Linked DNA regions of Astyanax mexicanus. The protein of the gene in region 1 binds, or shares a complex with, the protein of each later gene. Links are inferred from orthologs where the notes say so. Each region holds a gene or a part of one and is shown on either strand. Other genes may lie near its edges.

Region 1 (7,603 bases):
TAAATGTATCATTTTTAAGTGGTCTCTTATTTTACATCCAGAGCTATACACAGTGATATGTAACTATATATATAAAATCCAAACTAAATGTAAAAACTTAAACTTAAAATGTAAAATAAGCTTCCAAACAATTGACCATGTACACAATGCTGTGCTAAGTACCTGTGTATAGGTGTACTGTGTATGTGTTTCCTAGAAGTAGCAAAATAATGTTCCAATTCCTATTGTATTTCTTTATCTCAATTTGGGCGTTACCTGCGTGAAGTTAACAGATTTAACAATGTGCTTGTGTGCCAGGGTGAGGACCTCGTCTCCAGTGACTGCATCCCACACCTTTCTGTAAGACAAGATGACAAAATACACAACTTAGTTACCAGACACAGATGCCGCTCATGCAATGGCACTTGCAAGGGCATAACCCACTATAATAATATAAATATCTTCCAGTCCCTTCGTGGTCAATTTAGAAAAAAGCATAAATACGCCACAATTCACTTACGCTGAGAAATCGGCAGCAGCAGTAGCCGCCTTAGTGGCTTCTTTATTTAAGGTGGCCCCCCAAACAGCACCTTTGTGACCCAAGAACGTCCCAATCCAGTCCCCTGTGTCCCCCTGGCGCAACATCGGTTTGCCATCTGCAAAGACCAAACAAATAACGAATACTGGGAAAAGGCACAAGGTAAACAGACACAGAGATTACAGAATTCTCTTATCATTACAAGTTAACCCATAAGAGCCCAGACTAGTGGGATCATGACTGTAAATATTTTAAGGTTAAACTCATGATGAAACATAAATGACAACAAATTACTAACTATCATTAAGACGAATTTTAAATGGTTAAATGGTTGGAACAGACCATTAGAACCCAATACTACATTTTAAAAGAAGGAGCTATTTTATCTCCAGAACTTATCTCTAAACTTAGTACACATACATCCTGTAAATAGGAAAATGGTGATGAGATGAACGAATACAGATTCACACTCTGGCTGCCCTGTGCAGAAAGTGAAGGACAGTGTTGTAGTGCTGTAAAGATCTTTACACAACTTTTAAAGGGTATGTGACATATATACATCACCATTGGCTTTTTGGGGTTAAAAGATGTGTAATGTTCCTTACAGCAATCTGTCCTTTACATACTTTACAGGACAGTGTGTTAATGTGTTTTCTTAAAGCATGTTTCTTTAACATCTGATGATGACGCAAGTTTCTACAGAAAATCTAATCCTTAATGGTTGTTCGACAGTCATATTCCCACAGTCAGAAACAAACATTAATGAGCTGCTCACTGAATTATCTGATTCAATTTTTATTTTGGTACTTATGGGTTAAAGGGTCTGTGACACACATACACCACTATTCTTTTCACTTCTTTTGAATTAAAATTGTTCACTTGAACAATCCAAACCTACCTTTACAAGCACTTATTAGGAAATAACCATAAGGAGTGATTCCACTGAAGGCCAGATCCACAACAGGTCTGGTGTGGCCTGAGCAGGTGAGCGGAGTCTGCCTCATAGCCATTCTTTAACACAGATAAACCTGGAGAAATTAAAGAGTAGAACTGGTTAGTCACTAAAATACTAACTAACAAACAGCTAATGTTGCCTGATTCTGGACTGAGCTGGATAAGAGAAAACATTACCAAAGACTTACCAAAAACTTAGTTAAAACGCTAAAAACAATATCATACATATTTATTGAAAAACAGTGCCAAAAACAAACGTAATTTAGATAGATCTAAACAGTGGGCTGGCTAAACTAGCTAGCTAACTATCTAGGTAACACCTGCAGTATACAGTTGCCACAGCAGCTAAGCTAGGTTAATTTACTTAGCTAGCTAGCTAACTAACTAACCTAACACACACAGTGTAACTACTGTAGCCACAGTAGCGGAGCTAGTTAACTAGCTAGGTAACTCACGTAATATACAGTAGACTCATTAGCTAAGCTACTTAGCTAGCTAACTCATATAGCGTTAATAAACAAGAGACAAAGTAACGTAGCTAAGCTTGTTAGGTTTGCTAGTTAACACACACTCAGTATAACTTCATTAGCCACAGAAGCTAAGCTAGTTAACTAGCTAGATATCTAACCAACGTAATATACAGTTGACTGATTAGCTAAGCTAATTAGCTAGCCTAGAAAACCCACGTAATATACAGTAGACTCTTTAGCTAAGCTAGTTAGCTAGCTAACAAATATAGCGTTAATATACATTAGACACACTAACGTAGCTAAGCTAGTTAACTAGCTAACTTTGTTACCCTAGCTAACCCACGAAATATACAGTTGACTCATTAGCTAAGCTAATTAGCTAGCCTAGTTAACCCACACTAACATGCTTAAGCTAGATAGTTAGGTAGCTAACACACTCAGTACAACTCCTAAAGCAACAGTAACTAAGCTATGTAGCTAGTTGACAATTATAGCGTTAATATACAGTTAGCTAGCTATAGCGAACACCCTCAGCACACAGCAAAGACTGTAGGTAAGCTAAGCTAACACATTATATTAAGTATATAGTAGACACAGTAACGTAGATAAGCTAGCTAGTTAGCCTAGTTAACCCACGCAGTATACAGTAGTCACATTCGCTAAGCTAGCTAGCTAACACATATAACGCTAATGTACAGTAACGTTACACAGAATAACGTAGATAAGCTAGCTAGTTAACCTAGCTTACCCACGCAGTATACAGTAGCCACAGTAGTTAGCTACCATTAGCTAAGCTAGCTTAGCGCAGTTCAGCTAGCTCTGCTTACCGGTGTAGTGTATGAACCTACCTCGTACAGGCACAGCAAATGAACGGACACGCACACACACACACACACACACACAAGACCTCTAGCCCGGTAAATATATAAATATAGAGGGTTTGTTTCGAGGAGAACAGCGCTGTGGATGGAACTTTAACTCTTTAAAGAGCGACAGCGAGAAGGTGCGCACCCACTGAAAGTGCTGTGCCACCAGCAGCAGCTACAGCTACAGCCAGAGCCCAAAGCGCCGGAGGCCGCAGAGCTCTCACACACATAACGGCACCGACAGGAAACCGCGCTCCACACACACTCTCACACACACCCACACACACAACCGAGCTGAAACAACACACTCAGCACACAGACCCACTGATAATTAATCAATAAATTCACTCAACACATCGTATACTAATTTAATTGCATGTAAAACATAATATTTGCTTATTGAACAGTGTGAATATGTTACTCAGGCAGCGATTAGTGCTGCCTTTTGGTGCTCCTTCAGTACTGTCCTCCTCAACAGTTCCTATCCACGATTATTTTGGTGTTTGCTCCTATTTTGGAACATAAAATTATTATGAAAGCTCATTCCCGCCACCTAAAATTCACTTTTATATTAAGTAAACTGCTATCTCATTATTTGGAGATACTAAGTCATTATTTTAAAATAGCAAGTGATTATTTTGAGACACAAGTCATTATTCTGTGATAGTGTTTGCTTTTGGAAAATTATGAGATCTCAAAATAATGAGATAGTATCTCAAAATAATGACTTACTATCGATAGTGTCTCAAAATAGTGTCTTACTATCTCAATAATAAGAAAAAAGTTTTGTTTTTTTAGGTGTTGGGAATAGGCTTCCATATATTATAAATAAATAATAATAAAATTAATGTAAATCGTAATCGAAAATAACTCAAGCTTTTGACTCAAGTAAAAATACTGGTTTCAAAATTACTTTAAGTATAAAAGTACACAATTTATAAATTTAAGTTTTAAAAAAATAATTATTAAAGTAACCAGTGTAAATATATATTTTTTCTACAGGCTAATATCAATCTTATATTATATAGATTAGAATTAGTTTTTATCCTTTACTTTTTTCTGACTGAACTTAGTATGATAGAGCTGATGTTGGTGAATATTGCTTCCAGCTAACCCTGTTAACTATCAGTTTGACAGTTTGAGTCTGTGAGCGTGTCTTTCCACTTCTTTAATCTCGACTCTATGGAAGCCCATTTCCGCCACCTGAAGAAAAAAAAACGTCCTCAACTAAGTCATAATTATGAGTTAGAAAAGTCATAATTATGGGATAGTAAGTCATAATTATGAGATAGAAAATAATAATTATGAGATACTAAGTCATAATTATGAGATAGAAAGTCATAATTATGAGATGACTTTTTATCTCATAAATATGACTTACTATCTCATAATTATGACTTTTTTATCTCATAATTATGACTTTCTATCTCATAATTATGACTTAGTATCTCATAATTATGACTTACTATCTCATAATTATGACTTACTATCTCATAATTATGACTTACTATCCCATAATTATGACTTTTCTAACTCATAATTATGACTTAGTTGAGGACGTTTTTTTTTCTTCAGGTTTTGGAAATGGGCTTCCATACGACTCAATGCTAATTTCAGCAGCTATTTTAATCTATTTTAGTCCTTCCTTTACTGGTAACCAAACTGAAAAAAAAGTTTCGCAGCATAACCCATCGTCTCTTGAGTTTCAGTTCATAGTCAGATGTCCTGACAGTTTCCTTTAGAATTCTTTGATATCATTTAGACTTTATTGTTCCATCAATAAAGGAGAGCTGTTCTGGACACGATGCAGCAAAGCAGGGCCAAACCATAAAACTACCAACACCATGTTTCACAGATAAGATAAGTTTTTTTTACGCTGGACAGCGTTTTCCTTTCTCCAAACATCATGCTTTTATTTTGGTCTCAACCACTTACAAAACATTCTTCCATTCTTACTTTTTTTACAGCAGTGGCTTTCAGTGTTAATTTCTCCCAAATTCCAAATAAAAATATTGTCTTGTAGAGCATTCGCAGAAAATGAGAAATGGCTGAAATAACAAAAAAGATGCAGACCTCAAATAATGCAAAGAAAACAAGTTCATATTCATAAAGTTTTAAGAGTCAATATTTGGTGGAATAACTCCGGTTTTTAATTAAAGTTTTCATGAATCTTGGCATGTTTTCCTCCACCAGTCTTACACACTGCTTCAAGCAGTTCCGTTTGGTTTGATGGCTTGTGATCATCCATTTTCCTGATTATATTCCAGAGGTTTTCAATTTGGTAAAATTTTTCCAGAGCTGTATATTTAAATTATACATTTTTCATTTGAAAGCCAGACATTTTTTGGATCATTAAGTTCTTGACACATATTCAGTTGATGAGAGCTGAGAGATCTGGGGTCTTCTTCACTCTCTAACTGAATAAAAACTATATTTATAATCTGAATGAGCTCCTAATCCCAGAACTCTGACGCAGTTCAGTGACTCGTCAGATCCGGCATGCACCGCGCGCTGAGTAACTGCGGGGAGGGAGCAGTAGAGGCGGATCCGCGGCGCATTAAAAACTGACCCGCTTTCAAACCCGCACACCCTTCAGCTCCACACCCGCGCGCTCACCTCCGCAGCTCCGCCGCCTGTCCGCCAGCGACCCCCCGCCATGGAGACCAACTACATCCACGTACCGGAGGGCGCTCCCGCCGTGCCCAAACTCAACGTGAGCGTAGACGATCACGACTACAGACCGGGAGCGCTGCGGCTGATCGAGGAGCTCCGACCCCACTGGAAACCAGCGGAGGTCAAAATGAAGGTAACCGAGCGGAGTTTACGGGTTTAGATCTGTTCTGCGCGCGCCTCCCGTTCTTCTGGAGCCGCTCGCGGGGGCTGTACGGAATATAGGCAGGTTATATAAAGCAGGGGGCGCGTGCGGCCGGTCGTGCATCGCCTTACAAGTCTGCGATTGTAGCTGCGTCACCGACTAGTAAATCCCGTACCCGATACAAAGTAACAAACCCCGGGCCGTGCACGATACAAAGTAACAAACTAAGTAACAATGTAACAACCCATCTGCCTATAGATACATATAGCTACACACCCTTCAGGTCATTCTGCAGTTTCGAACCCCTTTTTAAACGTGTAACAAACGGTGTAATACTGAGAATTTTAGCTTCCTATAAACCGGTAGATTCTAAAATAAACATGCTATAACCCGCCTTCACTCTATCTTTAGATTTTAATCATATTTTCTTCAGAATTTGACAGATAGACCACACAGAGTAGCTATTAAAAGTATATACAGTCGTGTCTTATTATTCATTCAATGATAACATACACTCCAGAAGCTCTGTGTCATAAAAAATAATTTAGGTTCTGTTCAGGTAAAAGTGCGTCATTATTAAGGAATAAACCACTATCAGCACCACTGGGTCAAAAACGGGACATAACATTTTAGTGTCCCCACTTGATAGATGTTATGCCCTGTCATAATAACAGGTTTTTGACCTACAGTTCAAGTTGCAGTTTCACACCCCCTTTTTTAAACGTGTAACAACAGTGTAGCACTGGGGATTTTATCTACCTGCAGATGCGTAGATCCTAAAAAAAATGTTAATAACCAGCCTTCAAGGTATCTTTAACTTTTAATCATATTTTCTTCAGATTCTGTCAGATAAATCACACAAAGTAGCTATTAAAAGTATATACAGTCATGTATATATTATTATTCATTCAATGATAACACACACTCCAGAAGCTCTGTGTCATAAAAAAGGAATTTAGGTTCTGTTCAGGTAAAAGTGCGTCATTATTAAGGAATAAACCAGTTTAAGAAGCCTCTAAAAGATACCACACAAATGTTTTACACATAAGAGACATTATTAGCTAGACTTGTAGTACATACACTCAGAAACTGCATTCATTGTAAAGAGTTTTACCCCCAAAATATCACTATCACTATCAGCAACACTGGGTCAAAAACGGGGCAGCACTGAATAAATGTTATGCCCTGTCATGATATCAGGTTTTTGACCTGTATACAGGTCATGCTGCAGTTTCAACCCCCCTTTTTAAATGTGTAACAACAGTGTAACACTGGAGATTTTATCTGCAGACACATAGATTCTAAAATAAACATGCTATAACCTTCCTTCAACGTATCTTTAGATTTCCATCATATTTGCTTCAGATTTTGTCAGATAAACCACACAGAGTAGCTATTAAACGTATATACAGTTGAGTACGAGTTCCTTCTAGAAGTTTCTTCTTATTCATTCAATGATTACATTCATTCCAGAAGCTCTGTTCCCTATAAAATAAATAAATTAGAACATAAAGAAAGTCATTTAGGTTTTATTCAGGTTCTGTTTAGGTGAAAGAGCTACTTTATTATAGAATAAAGCATTTAACAAGCCTCTAAAGGATACCACACAAATGTTTTACACATAAGAGACATTATTAGCTACGTCTGTAATACATGCAGGGTTTTATGATGCAAAAATATATTATTTTCCCCCCAAAAAAATCACTATCACAATTGTCACCAGTGGGTCAAAGACAGGACGTAACTTTTTAGTGTCTCCACTTGATAAATGTTATGGCCTACAGGTCATCCTGCAGTTTTACACCCGCTTTTAAACATGTAATAAACAGTGTAACACTGGGGATTTTACATGTTATAATCTGCTTTCAGTATCTTTAACTTTTAATCATATTTGCTTCAGATTTTGTCATATAAATCACACAGAGGAGCTATTAAAAGTATATACAGTTGAGTACAAGTTCCTTCTAGAAGTGTCTAATTA
Region 2 (7,564 bases), on another chromosome or scaffold:
TGGGGCTTTAGAGGGTGGGGCCAGGGTGGTTTTATGCATACACATGTTTGTTTTTTATATATTGTACATTTAATAGTTTTTGGTGTTTCTGGTGTTTAACAGCTCTCTGAATGACTGACAGGGTTCATTTCTACAGCGTATTGATTAAAGAACTCTCAGGATTGGTACAGAACCCTACTGATCAGTTCTGCTGATCTGCTGCTCACCATCACAACATTATCATCCAGAAACTGAGCTTTCCAGTGCTGCCGGTGTTTGGCCACACTCTGAAACACAAACAGAGAGAGGAGTAACTTTACTTCAGTCATTTAAAGAGAAGAGATATACAGCAACGATTACTGCACCAGTACTGTAGGTCTGTTACAATAATTACAGAATCGATTTATCATACAATATGTGGACACAAACTGAATCATTTTTTGTTTGCTGAAATCATTTTATATATTTTTTGTTCCTTTAGGCAGGAAGATCTTATAAACATGAAGGAGTCTATAAGTTGACTTTGTTCAAAAACAGTGTTTTTATTTTCTTTTGTTTATGTTTTTACAGTTTAGTGTTCTTTAAAACTGATAATTGCAGTATTATGCCATTATATTATAATTATATCAGAGGCATAAAATCACAATAATATTGTTTACTGCAATCATTTCTGGGACACTATATAATCCAAGCAAAAACAGATATTGTGGCAGGTCTACATCTACTCTTTTTTTACATAATAAAAGTCTTCAAAATTGTAAAAAGTAAACCTTGGATTTTGCTTCTCCATCAGGACAGAAGAACATCTATATAACATTTTATTTAACATGTATGTTAAACAAAATGTTACAGAACATTTTTCTACACATTTCAGACAGTTTCTATTTATTTACTAAATTTAACACACTGATAAAAATGTTTATTACAAATACAAAAAATGTTTATTGTACCATTATTATGCTCAGTGATTGTTTTACTCAGATAAGTAATAAAAAGTGTTTTACCTGTCTGACTTCAGAGAAGCTGCTGACCTGCTGCTGCTGCCACTTCAGGCTGGGGGAGAATCCGTGAGGAGCCGTCCGACAGCCACTGAGCTAAACACACACACACACACACACACGTTTAGCATCTCACACACACCATTATATCACACACTCACACACACTTATCATTATATCTTACACAAACACACTTACAGAAACGTTCACTGACTGGTTCTTCCTCAGCTTCTTGGGATCAATCTGAGCTACAACAACATCCGGACACAGAGAAGCTTCACGCCTGTGATACACACACACACACACACACACACACACACACACACACACACATTCATACAACTCAGACTAGTTCTGTGAGGCTGCATCCTAAATCACTCTATGCTCCCTACATAGGGCACTTCAACTAGCCCAGGACAGTGCACTATCCAGGCCAGGGTACGAGGTATAAAGACTTTAGGCAGCTAGTCAGAAGTCAGAATGCCAGATTGCCAGTAGTCAGAATGCCAACTAGTCAGAATGCCAACTAGTCAGAATGCCAGCTAGTCAGTAGTCAGAATGCCAACTAGTCAGAATGCCAGCTAGTCAGTAGTCAGAATGCCAGCTAGTCAGTAGTCAGAATGCCAACTAGTCAGAATGCCAGCTAGTCAGTAGTCAGAATGCCAGCTAGTCAGTATTCAGAATGCCAGCTAGTCAGTAGTCAGAATGCCAGATTGCCAGTAGTCAGAATGCCAACTAGTCAGAATGCCAGCTAGTCAGTAGTCAGAATGCCAACTAGTCAGAATGCCAGCTAGTCAGTAGTCAGAATGCCAACTAGTCAGAATGCCAGCTAGTCAGTAGTCAGAATGCCAACTAGTCAGAATGCCAGCTAGTCAGTAGTCAGAATGCCAACTAGTCAGAATGCCAGCTAGTCAGTAGTCAGAATGCCAGCTAGTCAGTAGTCAGAATGCCAGCTAGTCAGTAGTCAGAATGCCAGCTAGTCAGTAGTCAGAATGCCAGCTAGTCAGAATGCCAGCTAGTCAGAATGCCAGCTAGTCAGTAGTCAGAATGCCATCTAGTCAGTAGTCATAATGCCAGCTAGTCAATAGTCAGAATGCCAGCTAGTCAGTAGTCAGAATGCCAGATTGTCAGTAGTGAGTTGCCAGAATGCCAGACAGTAGTCAGAATCACATGCTAGCTAGTCAGTAATCAGAATGGCAGCTAGTCAGAAGTCAGTAGTCTGAATGGTAGCTAGTCAGTAGTCAGTAGTGAGCATAACAGCTAGTCAGTAGTCACAATGCCAGAAAGAATGTAGTCAGTAGTCAGAATGCCAGCTAATCAGTAGTCAGTAATCAGTAGTCGGAGTCTATTAAGTAGTCAGTAGTTAGGAATACCAGCCCACTTAGCACTTAGCTCTTGGTCAGAATCAACCAGTGCTTAATAGTTAGAATGCCAGCCAGTCAGTTCTCAGTAGTTACAGTGCCAGCCAATCAGCACTCGGCAGCCAGATTTTCATTTTAGCAGCCAATCAGTAGCACTCAGTCCATAAAATGATGACATTAAAATATACATTATTTTAATTTCTCCGCTGTTTTTTTAGTAGAGATATAAATATCCTTTAACTAGTGTTTATAGTTTTCTGTGCTTACACAACTGTGTGTGTGTCTGTGTGTGTGTGTGTCTGTGTGTGTGTGTTTGTGTGTGTGTGTGTGTGTGTGTGTCTGTGTGTGTGTGTGTGTGTGTCTGTGTGTGTGTGTGTGTGTGTCTGTGTGTGTGTGTGTTTGTGTGTGTTTGTGTGTGTGTATAAGAGTGTGTGTGCTAAAAGCTCGTACTGCACGTGTCTCAGGTACTCCTGCGGGTTCCTCGGCGGCTCCTTTAAAGTGTATCCTTCCTCCTCCTCCTGCGCGCGCGGCTCCACCGGCAGCAGTCTGGGCATCAGCTCCTCCATCCCTGTCCTCTATTCACCTGTTCTACACACACACTCACCTGCTCTCAACACACACAGCTCTCCCGCTACTGTTTACCTCACACTGTTCTTCTCCGCCTGCAGCTCACACACACACACCACCACTACCTCCCCCTGCAGGACACACCGCGCTACTGCAGCACAGCTCATATACACACATCACTAAGTAGCTCCTCTTGTTTAGATGATCAGTTTTGAACATCTCTGCTGGATTTTCTCAGTTAGTTTTATGAGGTAGAGTCACCTGGAATTCAGTCTTTCAGTTAACAGCTGTGCTGAACTCATCAAGAGTTAATTACATTCAATTCAATTTTATTTATATAGCGCTTTTTACAACAAATGTTGTCACAAAGCTGCTTTACAGGAAAAACAGGTCCACGCCTCTTATGAGCAGCACCACAGAGATGCTGATTTTATGGTGACACAGTGGCAAGGAAAAACTCCCTTTAAGAGGAAGAAACCTTGGAAGGAACCAAGACTCAGTCCGAGGAACCCATCCTACTCGGGTTGACCCGCTCAGTACAAACAAACAACAAACAACAAACAGAACAAAACAGTACAGAGAATTAATGTGAACTATGGCTAATATAACAGGTACTAATTTATGAATATAAGAATGTGATGGGCACAAACTATAGAGCTATGGCTAATACAGAAACAGATACTGAGTGTGTTAATGGTAATCAGTGCAGGGCTGCAGAGCCGGAGAACAACACAGCGGGCAGTGGAGAGCCAGGCTGGGAACATCAGGAACAGCATCTCCATACATGTAAAAGAGATAGATAGAGAAAACAGAAAGGAAAGAAAGAGAAACAAAAAGCAAGAGTTAGAAGGGTTGTGTAATAATTCTGATTTTTGAGTAGAAGGACAGGGCTGAAAAAGGGAAGAAAAAGGGGTTAGAATGGTTTTATAAAACTCTGCTGGAGTGGGATGGGCACTGGTAGCAGCAGCTCAGGACATGGGGAGAGAAAGAGAAAGCAGATGATTAGGACAGGGTTTATATTTGCTGGATAAGCTGTAAGAGGAAGAAAATTGTAATGAGACATTACTCAAAAGCTTGAGCAAATAGAAATGTTTTGAGTCTAGATTTAAAGATTGAGAGTGTGTCTGAGTCCCGTATATTAATAGGGAGGCTATTTCAAAGTTGGGGAGCTTTATAAAAGAACGCTCTTCCTCCTGCATAGTTTTTTCTAATACGCGGGACTAATAACAGGCCAGCGTCTTGGGAGCGGAGTGAACGCGGCGGATTGTAAGGAGTAAGGAGTTCCTGTAGATAATGCGGGGCCAGACCATTGAGGGATTTATACGTCAGGAGAAGTATTTTATAATCTATACGAAATTTAACAAGTAGCCAATGTAGGGATGAAAGAATAGGTGTAATATGATCGAACTTTCTAGCTCTGGTAAGCACTCGGCTGCATTCTGAACTAGCTGGAGTTTATGGTGTAAACGCGTTGCAGTAGTCCAGCCTGGAGGTTATGAATGCATGTACCAGCTTCTCAGCATCTTCCAGAGAGAGTATACTGCGGATTTTAGCTATATTTCTTAAATGGAAGAATGCAGTTTTGACTATGCTACATATGTGAGCATCAAACGAAAGAATTGGGTCAAAGATGACCCCAAGGTTTCTCACAGTTTTACCAGGTATAATTAAGTGACCGTCTACATCTACAGTATTAACATTTATGTTTTTATCAATATTAGGACCTAATAGAATCAGTATTAAGTAAGAGAAAGTTGTGTGTCATCCAATTTTTAATCTCTTTAATACAGTCTGTTATTTGATTAAGACAGAGGTCCTCATTGTAAAGTTGCGTGTCATCAGCATAGCAGTGAAAGTTAATACCATGCCTACGAATGATTTTACCCAGCGGTAACATATAAAGAGTAAAGAGTAATGGGCCCAGTATTGATCCTTGACGGACACCATATTTTACTCTAGACTCATAAGAGCATTCGTTATTTAAATAAACACACTGGAATTGATCTCTCAGATAAGATCTGAACCAGGTGAGGGCTGATCCTTTAATTCCTATAAGATTTTCTAACCTATCAAGCAGAATAGCGTGATCTACGGTGTCAAAGGCAGCACTAAGATCTAGCAGTACAAGGATGGCAGTACTGCCCCTATCAAGAGCTGAAAGTAAATCATTAGTTACTCTAAGTAGAGCTGTTTCAGTACTATGGTTTTGTCTAAATCCAGATTGAAAAACCTCATGCATACTATTACTTTGTAGATACAAGCGTAGCTGCTTAAACAAACATTTTTCTAGGATTTTGGCTACAAAGGAAGATTAGACATTGGTCTATAATTAGCAAGCTCGCGGGGGTCCAGATTTGGCTTTTTGATAATGGGCTTAATGACCGCCAGTTTAAGAGAATTGGGTACGTAGCCCATGCTAAGGGATGAATTGACTATTTCTAGTAATGGTTTACCCACCTTTGGCAGTGCCTGTTTAAGTCATTGTGTGGGTACTGGATCTTATATACATGATGAATTTCTTGTCTCTTAATGTGTTTGAGAGCATTAGTTGTAAAGTAGTAAAGAGGTAGAGTTGGTATGCAGTAGATAGCTCTATTTGAGTAATGTTCTAATACAGATTATTAGAAACAACAACTACTCAACTAAGTAAAGTGATAGAACTGGCACTCATCCAGACTGCCCCAGGAAAGCGAGAGTTTCCTCTGTTGTAGTTAAAGCTCACCTTCCGTCGTTTTTTCTTTCATTTTAAAATGTCTAGTTGTGGTCTTTAGTATGAATGAATGACATGTGAGCCGTTTTTGTAAAAAAAAAGTGCTCAGGTGTCTCTGTATAGCTCTTTTTTAATGGACTGTTTTAGGGGTGTGTCCAAAATGACCGGATTCCAGCTTTGCTCATGAATATTCATACATGCAAACAGCATGCAAATATCTCTCCTCTGATTGGCTAGGAGCACTGCGACGCCCCTCCACCGCTCTGCCGCTCACTGCCTCCCACCTCCTAACTGATGAGCGGTGATGTTGCGTCGCTTCAGCTCCGCCTCTGGGAGTTTCTCGAGCCAAGGTGGGCTGGTCTGTGAGTTTCTGCCTACGTAGGCAGAAAGATAATTCAAAATTCACCCGTTTTTCGGAGGGGGGGAGGGGGGATTTCTTTGCTTAGCTCCTGCAGACAATGGGGGCTGCAAAACAGTTTAATGTGCAGGTGTACACATTCAACTCGGAGAGACCTACTGTATTCCACAAAAAACAAGAAAAATCGGATTTTCGCGGAAGGTGAGCTTTAACACACTGACCATATAAGAGCACTTTGTGTGTGTGAAGTAGATAAAAAGGATAATCTATAAAAAGGAGGTGGCCACGTTCCAATATATCTTATATTAATATTACTGACGGTAGCCCAGCTATATATATATATATATATATATATATATATATATATATATATATATATATATATATATATATATATATATATATATTATCCCCCCTCTACTCCATCCATTGGTAGAAAGTGACCACCATGGGACCACTGCTGACCAGATGTCATTTTACTAGTGAAGTTAAGTATTGCAGAGCTCATCAAAGCAATGACAAGATTTTCCCCCACAAGCTCCTGATTTTCTCCAGTGTTTCACGCAGAAATAGCTCTCCACCGCCAGCCAATCCCAGCGCAGAGGGCGGGATGTGCCGGAATACAGGTGGGAAAAATGAGTGCAGTCTTGTCTTCATTATAGTTAAGTATTGCAGAGCTCATCACAGCAGTGACATCAATATGATAGTGGCATGTTAGTGAAGCCATCCAGACACATCTAGGACTAGTCAAATGTGCAGGCGCCTTATTTGGCATTGCATTAGTTATTTTCAATGATTTTATTTAATCTTGCTATTTGATGAACTACAGCGAGGACAGTGATTTTTTAGGTTTCCTGGCCAGTGATGTTAATACATACAGTTCACACTGTCAGACACTAATTACACTATCTTAAATCCTGAGATTGATGGTAATAGCACCTTCTTTGACTCTCCTGATAGCAGTGACTGCACACTAAGAAAAGTAAGTACAGATTTGTACTTAAAAGAGTATAAAGCTTGTCGCTGGGGCTGTACCTTATATCGAGGTACAAAAAAGTACCTTTCAGTGAAAGTCCTTTTTTGTACCCATGTTTTTTGTGCCAGTAAAGATTATAAAGATTATGATCATTTTCATCAACTAAATATGGCTCAAAAACTTGATGATCCAAAATTGTCTGGCTTTCAAATGAGAAATGTGCAATTTAAATATATATTGTTTATTAGTACAGTGATACAGAATACTGAATGTACCTTTTGGCTGCAGGTTAAATGGTACAAATTTGTACTTATTGCTGTTAGAAATGACTTTGTACTTTAGAGGGAACAAATCTGACCCTGTAAAGACCAATATTGTACCTTTGAGTACAAAAAAGTACTCATATCGTACCTGTGTTTTTTAGAGTGTGCCATATTTGTAAAAATGAAGACAAAGATGACCTCCATTATGAAAATGAGCTCTGTATCGGACACGGCTAACAATATTTTGCTATTTTAAGCCTAAAACAGAATCTGATCTACCCAAGATCAGTACTTTTGCAGGAAAGGCAGTTTTTGTCTCTCTGAATTAGATAATAACACATGAAAAATGATA

The links.
Region 2: serine-threonine kinase receptor-associated protein (region 1) and gemin2 share a complex: the UniProt entries of both Homo sapiens proteins name them as parts of the SMN-Sm complex. The link is inferred for Astyanax mexicanus from reciprocal best matches to the Homo sapiens genes STRAP and GEMIN2.

What each region holds. Positions count from the first base shown.
Region 1 is NC_064409.1:2,001,704-2,009,306, forward strand, and holds the start of serine-threonine kinase receptor-associated protein, read right to left. Parts: upstream 3,023-7,603; 5' UTR 2,790-3,022; intron 1,546-2,789; 5' UTR 1,528-1,545; coding exon 1,416-1,527; intron 636-1,415; coding exon 500-635; intron 338-499; coding exon 256-337; intron 1-255. Other genes in the region: etnk1 (ethanolamine kinase 1), read left to right, coding at 5,464-5,613. UniProt on the Homo sapiens protein: The SMN complex catalyzes the assembly of small nuclear ribonucleoproteins (snRNPs), the building blocks of the spliceosome, and thereby plays an important role in the splicing of cellular pre-mRNAs.
Region 2 is NC_064421.1:1,227,983-1,235,546, reverse strand, and holds the start of gemin2 (gem-associated protein 2), read right to left. Parts: upstream 3,001-7,564; 5' UTR 2,905-3,000; coding exon 2,789-2,904; intron 1,261-2,788; coding exon 1,176-1,260; intron 1,074-1,175; coding exon 984-1,073; intron 267-983; coding exon 207-266; intron 1-206. UniProt on the Homo sapiens protein: The SMN complex catalyzes the assembly of small nuclear ribonucleoproteins (snRNPs), the building blocks of the spliceosome, and thereby plays an important role in the splicing of cellular pre-mRNAs.